Linked DNA regions of Macaca fascicularis. The protein of the gene in region 2 interacts with the protein of the main gene of each other region in a pairwise test. Links are inferred from orthologs where the notes say so. Each region holds a gene or a part of one and is shown on either strand. Other genes may lie near its edges.

Region 1 (3,567 bases), on a different chromosome or scaffold from region 2:
TGGTGACACTATGTTGACTTCCATGGCTAGGTCACAGAGGGCTGCACGGCTCCTGCCTGCCTCTCCAGATGTCTCCTCTTGGAACCCGGAGTCCACCACCATGCCAGGAGCAGCCTAAGGCTTGAGAGGCCTGTGCAAGTCGATGACAGAGGGCCTCGGATGAGCCCAGCTCTCAGCCACCCAGCCTGGGTGCCGGACATTCATGTGCAGACACCATCTGGAGGAGAGGGTTCTGTAGCCTAGGCCCATGAGACCCCCGACACCAAGGAGCAGGGAAGTGCCATCCCCATGATGCCCTTTCTGAATTCCTGACCCAGGCTCCATGAACTTGATACACGTGGTTGCTTTAGGCCACTAAGTTAGGTGTAGTTTGCTACCTGGCAATAGATGACCAGAGTGGTGCATGCCAGCGACTTGACACATGGCCAGTGCACTTTCTCAGGGCCATGCATCCCCTGACGTTCTGGAAGGATCTGGCACACGTTGGGGTCGGGTCCCACCTGATATGTGCAGAGGTATTTTTGTTGCCACTGAGCTGCTCAAACATTTACACCAGCATGAGAGGGGATTTGAAACAGAAGAATCCTAATTGTGTGGCCTCAGGGGCTCTAGGGGTATGACGGTATGACTCCGGGTTTGCAGTTTTGCCTTTTACCCTTAAAATTCACTTGGATTTTGTATTCTATGGATATGCATCCATGTTAATTTTGTCATGCAAATGTTTAAAATTAGTTGCCAATTAAATTACTCAACTTCCCACCCCCATCTGCCACCCTACACTCTCAATCCCTAAGTAAGAGGATCCTCTGGGGAGACGCAGCACCTCGCCTGGGGCTCTGCAGCCCCCACCACACTGTAGCATACTCCCCTGGAGGAGTCTGGGGTCACACACTTACCGGCATGGTGGCTGCCTGGCTGAGCCCGGGGACAGGTAACTCTTGGGGCAGGGTGGCTGATCTTGGCAAAGCTGGGGTGCTGGCCTCTGCCATCAGCTTGGTGGGAGTGGCTGTAAGAAAGCAATGAATGACTTTCCTAACTTAGACGTACTTAGCATGCACTCATCCGAAGAGGACACCCATGACAGTGGTGTGCTAACACAAGAGCTCAGTTGGGATCGCTGATAAAGGAAGTCCACCATGCAGGTTTGAGGTGAACCACAGAAGCCCAGCCTGGCAGCAGGTGGGAGAAACCACAAACACTCCCCAAACTTCATTTCTGCTGCTTGGTCCAGTGAGCTGCCCGATCAGATGCCTCCCCAGAATTACTAAAAGCAGCCCAGGGATCAGATCTGTGCACCACCCACTCAAGGTCTTTGCTTGGCACTGAATGGATACCAGAGTGTGGAGACGTGATCAGAAGGCAGGAAGTCTGGGAAAGGAAAGGAGTATAAACTGCACGGCAACCTCTGTCGGAGGCACAGACTGCCCTGGGACCCTCTGTGGGGCTGTCCCTCTGGTCCGATGGGGTCCCCCATCCCACTCCCCATCCATGGACTCGCACTCACAGGTGGGTTCTGACATGGCTGTGTGTGAGGATTTGTGGGAACTTCTTGAGGACGCTGATGGCGAATGACTGGTATTAAGGCCCGAGGCACCCACGTCGAGTGCGTTAAAGTGCTGCCGAGGTTCCAGGCTTGAGCCCTTGTCCTGAAACACACACATCAAACAGTCCTCATGTCAGCATCCAGAGGAAAGAATCACTGGGTGTGACTTTAGTTCTAAGTATGTTGACAACCTCAGAAGCTGCTGAGACAAATACCATAGTTGTTTAGGGACGATTCCAAAGACGCTTGGGTAGTGTATATACATACATGTAACCTAAAGCCCCAGAGAGGCTTGCAGCCGAAAAGCAGTGTTTATTACCCTTTCTTGCCTTTGGTTTTTATTGTTTATGTTTTCATAACTGACTTTGCATTTAATTTTGTCCTCAACATTGTCACCTCACCACCCAGCATCTTGACTTTCCAAGAAGAGGGAAAGAGTTCTAGAAATAAGGTTGCTGCTGGCAGTGGATTGTAAACTCATCCAGTGGGACAGGTGCCTTTGGACCTTCCTGGGTCCTTCCCACGCTTTCTCCTGTTACTCATTCTCTGCAGCCTCAGTGTCCCCTGGAGTGGAGAACCAGTGAGGGCAAGGGGTCTCCTGTCTTTCAACCTCTTGCTCCTGACTGACCCTGGCTCTCAGGACGTCTCTGCCTCAAATACAGTGTGACAAGAAAGCAGCTGTGACAGTCTGACTCCGAGGGACCGTTTTTCCATCCTCTGTGGCTTAGCTCTTATAGGCACATGAAAACGGGATGTGTTGGGGCTGGGCGCGGTGGCTCATGCCTGTAATCCCAGCTCTTTGGGAGGCTGAGGCAGGCGGATCATTGGAGGTCAGGAGTTCGAGACCAGCCTGGGCAACATGGTGAAACACCGTCTTTACTAAAAATACAAAAATTAGCTGGATGTGGTAGCAGGCGCCTATAATCCCAGCTACTTGGGAGGCTGAGGCAGGAGAACAGCTTGAACTTTGGAGACAGAGGTTGCAGTGAGCTGAGATCATGCCACTGCACTCCAGCCTGGGCACCTGGGCAACATAGTGAGACAAGGTCTAAAAAAATAATAATAAACAAAACAAAGGTTGGGATAATTTTTAAGCTAAAGAAGAAAACAAAACAGTGACTCCCCTCCTGAGCCGCATTCCTACCCAGTCTTAGAAGAATGGAAACTGCCAGCATCTCTGGGCTACGTCAACGGGCTGGTCTGTGTCCCACGGCCTTGGGTATGAAATCCCATGCGTGCATCTGTGTGGCTGTTTTGTCTTTTGTGTCACGGCTGCAGTGGGGGTGGACGCTGTGCGCCTACAGTAGGGCTGAAGTGACTGACATGTGACCTACGGGCCTTTGTGCAAAACAGAAATACCACATGTGGCTGGATGTGCTGAGGTAAATGGCAATTTGGGGACCTCGCTGCTTGGTTACAGTTTCCCTTTGACCAGGCTCCTTAGAGCGGGGTCCCTGGACCACGGCTCTTTGTGAATTACGTGTTCCTAGTCAGCAGAGAAGTCGGTCCAGGAAGTGAGAATAAGCACGGAGGAACTTGGATGCCCATTTGACGTCTCTGCACATCACATCCACACACAGGAATCTGCATTTTACAAATGCACTGGACAGTGACAGACAGCAAAGCTATAAAAACCAAACTGGTTCAACATCACAGATAGTTTGGGAGCTCTGGTGGGAGCTTTTACTTTAAAGGGATTTCTTAACCCAGTGCCCAAGACTGTGTTTGTATTTTTATTATTATTTTTTTTGAGACCGCGTCTCACTCTGTTACCCAGGCTAGAGTGCAGTGGCACAGTCTTGGCTCACTGCAAGCTCTGCCTCCTGGGTTCAAGTGATTCTCCAGCCTCAGCCTCCTGAATAGCTGGGATTACAGGTGCGCACCACCATGCCCAGATAATTTTTGTATTTTTAGTGGAGACGGGGTTTCTCCATGTTGGTCAGGCTGGTCTCGAACTCCTGACCTTGTGATCTCCCCGCCTCAGCCTCCCAATGTGCTGGGATTACAGGCATGAGCCACCGTGC
Region 2 (3,567 bases):
GTGGAAGTTTTACCAAATAGTGCCAATTTAAAACGTTGATTGTTCTAATCTTTTCTAAAGCTTACCATAAAAACAGCTGTTTCAAATAATTTTTTATCAGGCTTTTCCCCTACTTTTTAACCTTTAAATCACTTTTGTGGCATGCCGTAATCTGTATCCTACTCATCGTTTATGCCAGTATTGGATTTATTGTTTGCTTAAACATGATATTTGAGCATATAGATTATTTCCAATTTTTTATTATTTTGGTGGACATGCTTGACAAGCTTCTTCCTATGAGTTAATTGCTTCGGATTTTCCTAAAAAGTGAAATTTGTTTTATTTTTATACTTTTCATTATAAATTTCTCCAAGTGTTCTTTAAAATGTTTCTATAATCTATTATAACGTTATATATCTATTAACCATTATAAGCACTAACATAAGAAATTTAAGAATGCATACATAATGACTTAAATGTCTTTTTAAACTTTCGAATATAAGTTACAATATACCAAAAAACTTAATAAGCTGAAAACAGTATTGCAAGGGGGCATGAGGATTAATTTTTCCAACAGATGTAAATTACTGTAATTTAAAAAATTGACTTGGAAATATATTAAGTCATAGACCTAGTTAATACTAAAATAAAGCAACCTGTTTGCTTTTTCATGTAGTACATACAATTTAGTTCCTGAGGAAAATAACCTATTAATAATAAAGTCATGAAATAATCAAAATTGATGATATCTTTTCAATGGAATACCATTCCCCTTTCATATTTTAGCATATTTAAAGAGCATTTTATAGCACAATTATCACTATTGTAGATGTCAATATAAGAAATTTAATGATTTATTTATAATGATCTAAATGTCCTTTTGAAAAATCTTTGAATTAGAGCATAGAAAATTCTATACTATCCACTGCACTGGTTACTTGAGAAGCTGGCCTCCAAATATTGTTGGAATGGAAGAAGAAAGGAACAGTAAGAAAGACAACAGTAATTTTACCTGCCTTGTGGCCATTGGAAGATTACAGCCATATATTATTCCACAGAACAGTGGAGAGATTCATGTGAAACCGACTGAATTTATAACCCGGTTTGCAATGAATGGAAAATTTGTCTATGTAGATCAAAGGTAAACATTTACATGTTATAATGATTAGAATTCAATAGGATATTTGAAGCTATTAAAGACGTGTCTTAGTAGCACTGCTAGATTTTTTTTTTTTTTTTTTTTTTTTTTTTCTGTTTCAGAACAGAAAGTTTAAATGAAATAAGGATATGGACATGTCAGTAAATTTGTTTAAGCCAACATGTAAACTCGAAAGAATGTCTCTTAGCCAGTGGTGCAGAAACTGGACATGGTCTGTGCCCACGATTTTACTGGCAAAAGCTAGTAAGAGCACAGCCTGGATTGGGTGGAGGCCTCATGCCTGGGTGTCTGTTCTGTGTTGCGGCTCTAGTCTGGCTCTAGGGCAGCCAACAGGAGCCCAGTGATGTGCATGGTCACTCATCCCCTACCCTGTGCACTTCTTTACTATCCTGACCATATGTGGGCCTACAGTCTTCTGGGAGGGAGTACACTCACCACTTCTGAAGTTTATTTTCAATTTTAAAACCAGGGCAACAGCAATTTTAGGATATCTGCCTCAGGAACTTTTGGGAACTTCTTGTTATGAATATTTTCATCAAGATGACCATAGTAATTTGACTGACAAGCACAAAGCAGGTAGGTATGCATTGAGCAGAAGACATTTTGGGGAATTCAAGATGACAGCTTTAACTCTTAACTTCCCATTCCTGTGAAATTTGAAATTTGAATTATTCCTCACAACGTTGATTTTTATAGTGGTAGACTGTTATGCTGATAATTATCTTTTCTCATTAAGTTCTACAGAGTAAGGAGAAAATACTTACAGATTCCTACAAATTCAGAGCAAAAGATGGCTCTTTCGTAACTTTAAAAAGCCAATGGTTTAGTTTCACAAATCCTTGGACGAAAGAACTGGAATATATTGTATCTGTCAACACTTTAGTTTTGTAAGTAAATTTTTATGTTAAGACCTTTATATTGATTTCAAATGAGTCTCTTTGCTTTTTTCCTTTCATCTTGCTAAATCATTAAAACCATATGATCCTCTGGCCTTTTATTATAACTTGAGATTTATCTTTTGAGTAAGTCATTTACTGTTCAGTGACATTAGTTCTCAGAATTAAGCTAAAAGTTTTCATTTTTGTAATATATTCCTTCTTACTTGATATAATAAGTGAGGGTAAAGGCATTTATTCAACCATTTTCTTCCTACCTTCCATGGCCATTCAGTAAACAATGCAGACATGGATTTCAACTGTGCATTATTGTAAGAAATTGTTTTGTCCTCCCTGTCATTTTTATGTGCACATCTTGTAAGCCTGGGGTGCCACCATGTCTGTGTAGGCATGCCCAGCATGGGGGAGAACAGAAATCCAGCCCAGGTGTTGCTTTAGCAGGCCCTGGTCTGTCGCTGTGTCAGCCTGAAGGAAGAGCCAAGTTCTCCCGATTTTATAGTAGACTAGGATGGCCCCATTCTAAGTCTTACTTTATTTCTGTAAGTTTCTCTTTGAAATTGCTGTAAGGTTTCCTTGAACCAGTTGTTTCCTTATCTACAATACCGAGTGAAAAATAATTTTTTTAAAAGTTTAATACCTCCAGTATTTTCCTGTCATCCATCCCAGTAATCTTTGCCTACTTATTATTAGTACATGAACTAAGAGTTTGTTATTGCGAGAACACGTACTTTATAGGGGAATGGGGCATTTGGCAAATGCCATGATACTTAGCACTAATGTCTTAATAGACCTTGATTTCTGGTGGTGATACTAACAATATGTGTAAATAAAACATAAATGGGCCACAAATTGACAAATTAAATATATAGAGCTTGGTGTAGTTGCTATAACAGTTTCCTTCACCTCAGAAAACAAATCATCTATGGTGTTTTTAATTCTAGGGGACATAGTGAGCCTGGAGAAGCATCATTTTTTCCTTGTAGCTCTCAATCATCAGAAGGTAAGCTTAGTTTCAGATGATGGAAGACTTATTACTAAGACGTATTATTAAGACTATTATTGTCTTTTTCTGGCCTGGAGAGGGGAAAATTTGAAGGTGAAATTAAAAGGAGTTCTACAGGTTAGGTTATAGGAATCCCAACTTTGGTTTAGAAGAGACTAAGTTCAATGAGAAACAGATATCCCATTTAAACCCCCAAAGGTATCACCATATCCCCCTCAAAATTTCCACAGTGCTTTGCTCACATTTCTGTTATAATCTTGCATTGTACTGCAGTTAGTTGTTCATTCTACTTGCTTTCCAGTATACTGAGTTCTTTAAGAGCAGGAATGATGTTTTATCCATTATTCAGCCCTAACAGCTAATGTCGTTCCTTGTCAATTGGACAAATTAATGAAAAGTATTAGGGGGAGTTTTTGCTTATCTGTGTTAGTTTTTCACCACAGGAATATATTAATGTATTACTTGTAAAAATAAAAATCTTAGGTAACGTTGAAGTAGTATTGCTGTGGAAGTTAAAGTGGGAAGAGACT
Region 3 (4,099 bases), on a different chromosome or scaffold from region 2:
TACAGACCAGTTCTCTGGCCCTCGCTTTCCCTTCAAGTTACACCTGTGAAACTCATGGGTCCTTCCACAGGCTTCAAAAACTAAGGGCGTCCCCTGTCCTCTCTCCAGATGTCCCTTCCCCATCGCCAGTAGCGAGTGGGAGACAGCTCAGCGCGGGGGAGGGGAGCACTGGGCCCAGAGATTGAAGGCAGCGTCAAAAGCGCTGCTGGAAAATCCCTGAGCGCTAACCGTTGCCTGCATAAGCCCTTAAATCTACGAATTTCCAACACCTGTAGCCTTTGCGTTCCCCAGGACTTCAATCGACCCTGGCGATAGAGAGGGCAGGCCTGAGATGCAGTGACTTGAGGGCACGTGGCCAACTCTGTCACTCCAAGATCACACTGGGGAACCAGACTGACTTCTCCAATTCTGAACTCGCCCCGGCCCGCGCAGGAGCGGCGGGGTGCCGAGAGCAGGGACAGAAGGTCGGGCGGCTCAAAGGGCCTCCTCTCCCGCATCCCTGTCAAAACCAAATCGCCTGGCACAAGCCCGTAAGCAACCACTGTACTAGGAGAGGGAAGGAAGGGCAGGCGCAGCCTAGATCAATTGATCCCTAGATCAATTTCCTTGCGCTGTTTCTCCCAGACAGTCAATTCAGCTGCGTCCCACCGAAAAGGGCGCATCGCCCACGCCCGAAACGCAGCCGCGAGGGGCCGAGAAATCATCCCCACCTGGCCCGAGGCCCACGTCACGGGGCCAGGGACGCGGGAGCGCAGCAGCGTGGAGGGGCTCCAGGCCGGCCGGGCGCTGCCCGCGGTCCTGCCCTCGTTCCAAGGGCACAGCGCCGGTAGGAGGACAACGACGCTGTGGCGGAACTGCCGCCCCCGGCAGCAATCCTGGAGCCCTGCTCCCGGCCGCCCCTCAGCCCCGTGCAGGCCGCGTCTCCCTGACGCGGAGTCCCACCCCACTACCCGCCGCCCAGACGACCTCATAAACAAGTCCTGGAAGTGCGGAGGCAGGAGGCGGGGCGCAGCGCGGGGGCAGGGGGCGGGCCGGGGTCAGGGCAGAGGCTGCGGCCGCGCCTCCCCATTGGCCAGGACGCAGTGAGCTGCCCGGAGCGCGGCGCGGGCGGGGCCTGCCGGCGCGTGCCCGCCCCCACCCCCGCGCCGGTGCCCGCACCCCGCCCTCCGCGCCCGCCCAGTGCCCGCCCCGAGCCGGCCGACGGAGTTTTTAAAGTGGGCTGGCGGCCGCGGGAGCCTCACACTCGCGAGCGGCCCGCCACACAGCTCCGGCGCCCGCCGCTCTCCCTCCCCAGCGCTACTGAGGCGGCCGTACAATCCTCGGCAGTGTCCTGAGACTGTATGGTCAGCTCAGCCCAGCCTCCGACTCCTTCCGACTCCCAGCATTCGAGCCACTTTTTTTTTTCCTTGAAAACTCAGAAAAGTGACTCTTTTTCCAGGGAAAAAGGAACTTGGGTTCCCTTCTCGCCGTCCTTTTTTCGGGTCTGACAGCCTCCACCCACTCCTTCCCCGACCCCGCCTCCGCTCGCAGGTTCCTCCCCGTCACCTTTCTCCACCCCCACCCCCGCACCTAGCCCGCCGCGCGCCACCTTCCACCTGACTGCGCGGGGCGCTCGGGACCTGCGCGCACCTCGGACCTTCACCACCCGCCCGGGCCGCCGGGAGCGGACGAGGGCCACAGCTCCCCACCCGCCAGGAAGCCCAGGTGCTCGGCGTCTGAACGTCTCAAAGGGCCACAGCGACAATGACAGCTGACAAGGAGAAGAAAAGGTAAGCGGGCGTCCGGGCCGACCAGGGGGCCGGTCAGGGGCCGGTCTGAGGCCAGTGCCGGGCTGCGCTGGGCAGGCGCGACCGAGAGTGTTTGGGAGAAGAGTGCGGAGAGGTGTTTGGAACTCGAGGCTCGGTTTGGAGGGCTGTGAGGGGGAGAGCATGTGCCCGGTTTGGGGGCGCGGAGCAGCAGCTTTGCAGTGGAGACTTCTGTGGCTCGGAGGAGTCGGGGATCCGCGCGCGCAGCGAGGCCAGGAGGCCGAGGGAGATGGCCTGGAGGTCGGAGGTGCTTCCGCGGTGCCTTTGAAAATCTCCCAGCCACCCTGCACCAGATTACCGTGGCCACTGGCGCTTGGAAATGTTTGTGGGTGCATGTCCTCGACTTTCTCTGGTCTCTCATGTTGGGGCAGCATCCACGTCTCTATTTTTCTCTGGATTCCCGGGGTCCTTCCAAATGCGCTCCTACGCCCGCGACGTGGCCCAAATGGGCAAGGGGGGCGGGAGGCGGAGAGCGGCTCAGGGACAGGATCCCACCGAAAAGCCAGGACCCTTCAGAGCGCCCCGCTGCCCGGCTCCACACCCCACTGGAGGTTGGAGAACCCACTTCCCTCGTGCCGCACCTTAACTCTGGGGAGAGTAGGTAGTGAGTGACCTGGATTGCCCTGCGGGGGCAGGTGGTTCGGTGTGTAGGGAGCGGACAGCAACACTGGACGTCCCTGGCAGGTCCGGGTGTCTGTCTCCCAAGAGGACAGGGAAGGGCAGCCACGATCTGCCCGCCTGCTCTCGCGAACCTCTCGGCACTGGGTGAGAGGCAACTCCGGCCAACTCTTGCTGCCCTCTCGCCCTCTCCCGGCCGCTCCCAGTCCAGCCGGGCCTGGCGCTACCCGAGCGAGGGTTCGAGCCCTCTGCGCGGCGGGGCAGAAGCAGGTAGGGCCTCATCTTCTGCATATGTGTGCGGCTCGCCGCCTGTCCCCTTTCTCCTCCTGTCTCCACCCCTGCGGCCCCAGTGGCCTGGAGCTTCCAACCCCGCGCTCGGCCGCGGCTTGGCGAGGCTATGCTGCGGGAAGCTGGAATCCAACGCGCGGCCGGCTGAACCGCCTGAGCCGCAGGAAACCAGCGGCAGGGCGGTAGTGAAGAGGTGCGAGGATGAGGAGGGCCCACCTGCGAAGGAAGGGAGGTGACTGGCCGGGAGGGCTCACTGCCGAGGTTGATTTGCTCTTGTTCCAACTTCCACTACGGGACTGGAGCCAGAAACCTTGTATCCTCCGGTTGAAAGCGGCGGTTCCCACCTCGGGGCACCGATAAGGATTTGATAAACGGGAGCGAATCGCGCCTGTCCTGGCTCGGCGCCCGGGCCCTTCATTGCGGGATCGCTAGGGGAGGGGACTGGGTCCTGCTCCCCTTTCCTGGCCGCAGTTCCCCCTTTCGCGTCACCGTCGCGCCCTCACACCCAAGACAAGTGAGGGAGCCTTGAGACTGCAGCCGGCACATCCCCAGGGCCCTCGGAGCCGTCCTGGGGTTCCGTGTCTTTTGAAGGCAGCAGAACAAGGAAAAGACTCTAAGATTCCAGTGCGTTTTGTGAAAACCAGTTATAATGCTAATAATGACTGAACCATCGAAAAGCAAAATTATAGACAGCTCCTCTGCAGGCGCTCTCGGGTCCGGAGCCGGCGAGGGAACTTGTGTATTTTACAACTGCGAAGCCTATCGGGAATGTGCCAATCGCCAAGGTGGGGCCTGATAGTAATCTTGACAAATGTGTGAAGTGTCAGCTCCTCCTGCGCGCCTTAGCGCCGGGTTTTGTGCAGTTTTGTACCGTATATACCGAGAAACTTGGGAGCAGGGGAAAAATGATTTCGACACACCTGGCTACAGTACCTGCTTCGTTAGCGGGCTGTTGGAGAGAGAGAAGGAGCAGGAATGGGAGCGGGAAGAACGTTGACTCCCAATTATTGGCGAGGGCGGCCGCTTTAAGAACCACTGTCGGGACTGCCTGCGAAACGCCTTGGAAGCCGCTGTGTGAGCTGCGGCTCCGGGCTGGTGGCCACGCCAGGGTGTCCGCCCTCTTCGACCTGCCTGGATTTTTGTGCTGCAGAATGGCAGGGCAAACAGCGTGTCCTTCACCATCTAGAGCCCCTTAAGGGGCTGTCCAATTCCTGTTGGACTAACCATTTTGAGACTCATTTACTTTTCGTGCCTGGGTCTGTTTGCTGGCTACAGCTTCTTTAGCGACTAAGATGTAATTAAAATATATGAACCAATGCATTGAAAGTTGGTGTTGTTATGTAAGTGGGTGCTGTAGCTTTCCTGAGTGCCTCACAAGGGCGATGTGA
Region 4 (3,567 bases), on a different chromosome or scaffold from region 2:
AGTAGCTGAGACAATAGGGATGCACCACCACACCCGGCTAATTTTTGTATTTTTATTTGTAGAGATGGGGGTCTCACTATGTTGTCCAGGCTGGTTTTCAACTCTTGGGCTCAAACAACCTGCCTACCACAGCCTCCCAAAGTGCTGAGATTCTAGGCATAAGCTAAAATGCAGGCCCTTCTAAACAAGTTAATACATTTTACTTTTCCGGTACTAAAGAATGTGGTAATAAATAACCTTTAGATGCAAGATTTTGGGTGGGTACTTCTCACTCTACACATTTTCCATTCACACATGCCTATAAACACTTACTCAAAATTCAGACCTCTCTCCTGAATTACAGATCCTTATTTCCAACTATCTGAATGTCCTCACACATCTCAAATTCAGTATGTCCTAAAATAAACTAATTGCTTTACTGCTCACACCCAGTCACACAATCTTCCATATTATTCTAAACATGTATGGTGGCCAGTTTCTAGAAATCTGATAGTTAAAACATACTTTCATTTTTACCTTTCACCATCTAAGTGGCCACTACTAAATCTTTTCCATTTCATCTAAGTATTTAAAAAATCAATTCCATCTCATCCATCTTAAGTGCATTGGTTTAGACCCCTGCCATCACTGATTTGCTACAGTGTTCACTAGTCTCCCTGTCCTTCAACTCATCTTCTCTTCTAGGGCTACAATTACCTTACTAATACTCAAATATTATATGACTTCCCTGCTAAAAAACTTTTAATGGTTCCTTGTGCTAAACTCTCTTCAGCATGGAGAAATAAACAAGAAATAAATTTTATTTCTGGTTTCTGATTACTTTTGTAGCCTTACCTCCCACTATCTCTTCCCCCTCCACACACTAACCCTAGACTCTAGTCATACTAAACAATGTATTCCATCCTGCCTCTGTGTCCCTGAATGACCTGCAGCACACTGTAATAGTTGTGAGGTTGGGCTTTGAGAAAAAAATAATTCTTAATTAATAGAATCAAGTCCCAGTTTCATCACTAATAGCTGAGACTTTGGGCAAGTAACTTAACTTCCCTAAGCCTCTGTTTCCTTATAATGTAAAATGAGGGATCGTAATAGCATCTACCTTATAGGGCTGTCATAAGAATTAAATGAGATAATGCATGTAAAATATACAGCATGTAGTAAGCACTCAAACGTTAACAACTATTATTTCATAAGATTAAAACAAACAGAGCAAGACTGGTTTAAGATCTTCTAAAAATTCAGTACTTTGTCCTATACTAAGATGTCTCCCCAAATTTATCTGAGACAGTGAGACTCATCTCAAAATAAAATGCAAACACAGTTCACTGAAGTCTCAACCTCCTGGGCTCAAATGATCCTCCCACCTCAGCCTCCTGAGTAACTTGAGACCACAGGTGTGTAACACCATGCCTGGCTAATTTTTTGTATTTTTTGTAGAGATGGGGTCTTGTCATGTTGCCCAGGCTGGTCTCAAACTACTGGGCTCAGGCAATCCTCTCACCTTGCCCTCCCAAAGTGCTGGGATTACAGGCATGAGTTGCCTCGCCTGGCCCCGCCTAAATTTTAAATCTTAGCCTGGCTGCCTCTTTCCAGTCAGTTTCTAGTGGTTGAACTATTTCACTTTTCCACTTCCCTACTAATCATCTGTTTGTGGGGCCCAGGAAATAAAAACAAAATACTTAATTTTACATTTGAAAAGGTAAGTTATATGTAGTAAAGAGTCACTTGTACATTCCAAATAAAAATTTAAAAGTGACCTTCTAAAAATAAAGATTCCAAAAACCTAGATTTTTGGACTTTCCCTTTTAATAATGAACCATACACAAAAGGATCCTAAAATCTTCCACAAAAGTGGGGCATACTGATATATAATAATCACTGGTTAACTGCAAAGGATATATACTAAAAAATTAGTTCTACAGTTTAATGAGTGTCTTGATAACTTGTCATTTCAAAAGTATTATCATGCATATTTAATGACTCAAAGCCATTCCACCTCAATGTCTGCAGAAAGTTTCAGGCAGTTCTCAGCATATGAACTGCAATCCCCTTAGGGAAATAAAATTAGAAACATACCTTGATGAACTGAGGTGTAGCTAACCTGACAGTAGCTACAAAACAAACTCTATCTTCATAAGACGGCCTATGTGTGCGTTGTATAGTTCCTTCAAAACCATTGTGTGCTGAAGAGGATACTAAAACAATAGGGAAAAAGGTATTGTGAGTTATGCAAGCAAAACCTAGTTGTTACTGATATTCAAACATCTATGTCTTTAAGAGCATAGAAAAATAACAAGTTGAAACACATTGTGAGAGAAGCATTTTAACTCACCACTGTTTAAAGATTTGAAATTTCCTATAAACTTTACATATTCATAGGTAGATGGCTCCTTTGGGTCTATTGTTCCTCGGAGCATATGACAACAGAATTCTAACTGATTTTTTGCTGAAATAAAGAGATTTTAAAAATCACATATTTGTGATATAAAACAATGATATACCACATAAAATAAGATCATAAAAGTTGTGTAAGTTTACAACCATTATTTTCCCCAACAGAAGTCGTCAATGACATTTAGTTCATAAAAGCAGAGTAACTTCAGGACAGGACCTCACTTTGTCTTTAACAGGGAAAACAGATTTTCTGGTGCAAACAACTTAATGTTTTCCTATTTTTACCTATTCATCCTTTTCCTTCTTTACTTACTTTCAAAGGAAAGTTTTGCTTCATGTTCTAAAGCTAATCCTTCCATCTCTACTATTTATAGTCTTTCCTATTTTCTCTACAACCCGGGCCACATCACTGTTCCTTATTCCTTGAGCATCTACACCTTTGGGTCCTTACTTTCTTTTTTTTGAGACAGCATCTTGCTTTGTCACCCAGGTTGGAGTGCAGTGGCATGATCACAGCTCATGCAGCATTGAACTCTTGGGCTCTAGTGAGCCCCCTTCCTCAGCCTCCCAAGTAGCCAAGACTACAGATGTGAGCCACCATACCTGGCTAATTTTTAATTTTTTGTGGGTCTCACTATGTTGCCCAGGCTGGTTGCAAGCTTCTGGGCTCAAGCAATCCTCCTGCCTCAACCTCCCAAAGTGGTGGGATTATAGGCGAGAGCCACTGCACCTGGTCAAGGATCCTTACTATCTACTTTTAAATTTGCTCAGTCTTCCATCTCAAAGGAGTTTTGCTAATTATTTTGGTATTATCGATCTCCTTCCTTTTCATTATGGGCTCCATCTTCCATATATTCATTTCCCATAACTTCACACACTGTGGCTTTCATCCTTACACCTCTACAGCAATTACTCTTCTCAAGATTACTAACATGTGTATTGTTAACTTCAATGGTTTTTCATTTCCATTTCTTTAAAGTCATGCTTTGTCATTCCTACAGCATAAACTTACCTTCCTACCTTACTGACTACTCCTACATCTTCTGCTAATCCATTTTCACACTAGGGGCTTTCACAAAGGTTCTTCTGATCCTAAATCTCTCTCTCCAACTCTAGCATTTTATGTGAGACAAAGTTTCCTATAATTTGCTTTCAGGATATTTGTACTTGATG

Evidence for each region.
Region 1: the proteins of BMAL2 (region 2) and NPAS2 interact in binary tests that used the Homo sapiens proteins (3 or more experiments, as listed by UniProt). The link is inferred for Macaca fascicularis from reciprocal best matches to the Homo sapiens genes BMAL2 and NPAS2.
Region 3: the proteins of BMAL2 (region 2) and EPAS1 interact in binary tests that used the Homo sapiens proteins (3 or more experiments, as listed by UniProt). The link is inferred for Macaca fascicularis from reciprocal best matches to the Homo sapiens genes BMAL2 and EPAS1.
Region 4: the proteins of BMAL2 (region 2) and CLOCK interact in binary tests that used the Homo sapiens proteins (3 or more experiments, as listed by UniProt). The link is inferred for Macaca fascicularis from reciprocal best matches to the Homo sapiens genes BMAL2 and CLOCK.

Annotation. Positions count from the first base shown.
Region 1 is NC_088387.1:5,457,231-5,460,797, reverse strand, and holds part of NPAS2 (neuronal PAS domain-containing protein 2), read right to left. Parts: intron 1,647-3,567; coding exon 1,505-1,646; intron 1,007-1,504; coding exon 897-1,006; intron 1-896. UniProt on the Homo sapiens protein: Transcriptional activator which forms a core component of the circadian clock.
Region 2 is NC_088385.1:30,147,566-30,151,132, forward strand, and holds part of BMAL2 (basic helix-loop-helix ARNT-like protein 2), read left to right. Parts: intron 1-879; coding exon 880-1,120; intron 1,121-1,607; coding exon 1,608-1,714; intron 1,715-1,874; coding exon 1,875-2,025; intron 2,026-2,975; coding exon 2,976-3,034; intron 3,035-3,567. UniProt on the Homo sapiens protein: Transcriptional activator which forms a core component of the circadian clock.
Region 3 is NC_088387.1:75,753,260-75,757,358, reverse strand, and holds the start of EPAS1 (endothelial PAS domain-containing protein 1), read left to right. Parts: upstream 1-1,239; 5' UTR 1,240-1,743; coding exon 1,744-1,769; intron 1,770-4,099.
Region 4 is NC_088379.1:78,433,290-78,436,856, reverse strand, and holds part of CLOCK (circadian locomoter output cycles protein kaput), read right to left. Parts: intron 2,447-3,567; coding exon 2,333-2,446; intron 2,196-2,332; coding exon 2,077-2,195; intron 1-2,076. UniProt on the Homo sapiens protein: Transcriptional activator which forms a core component of the circadian clock.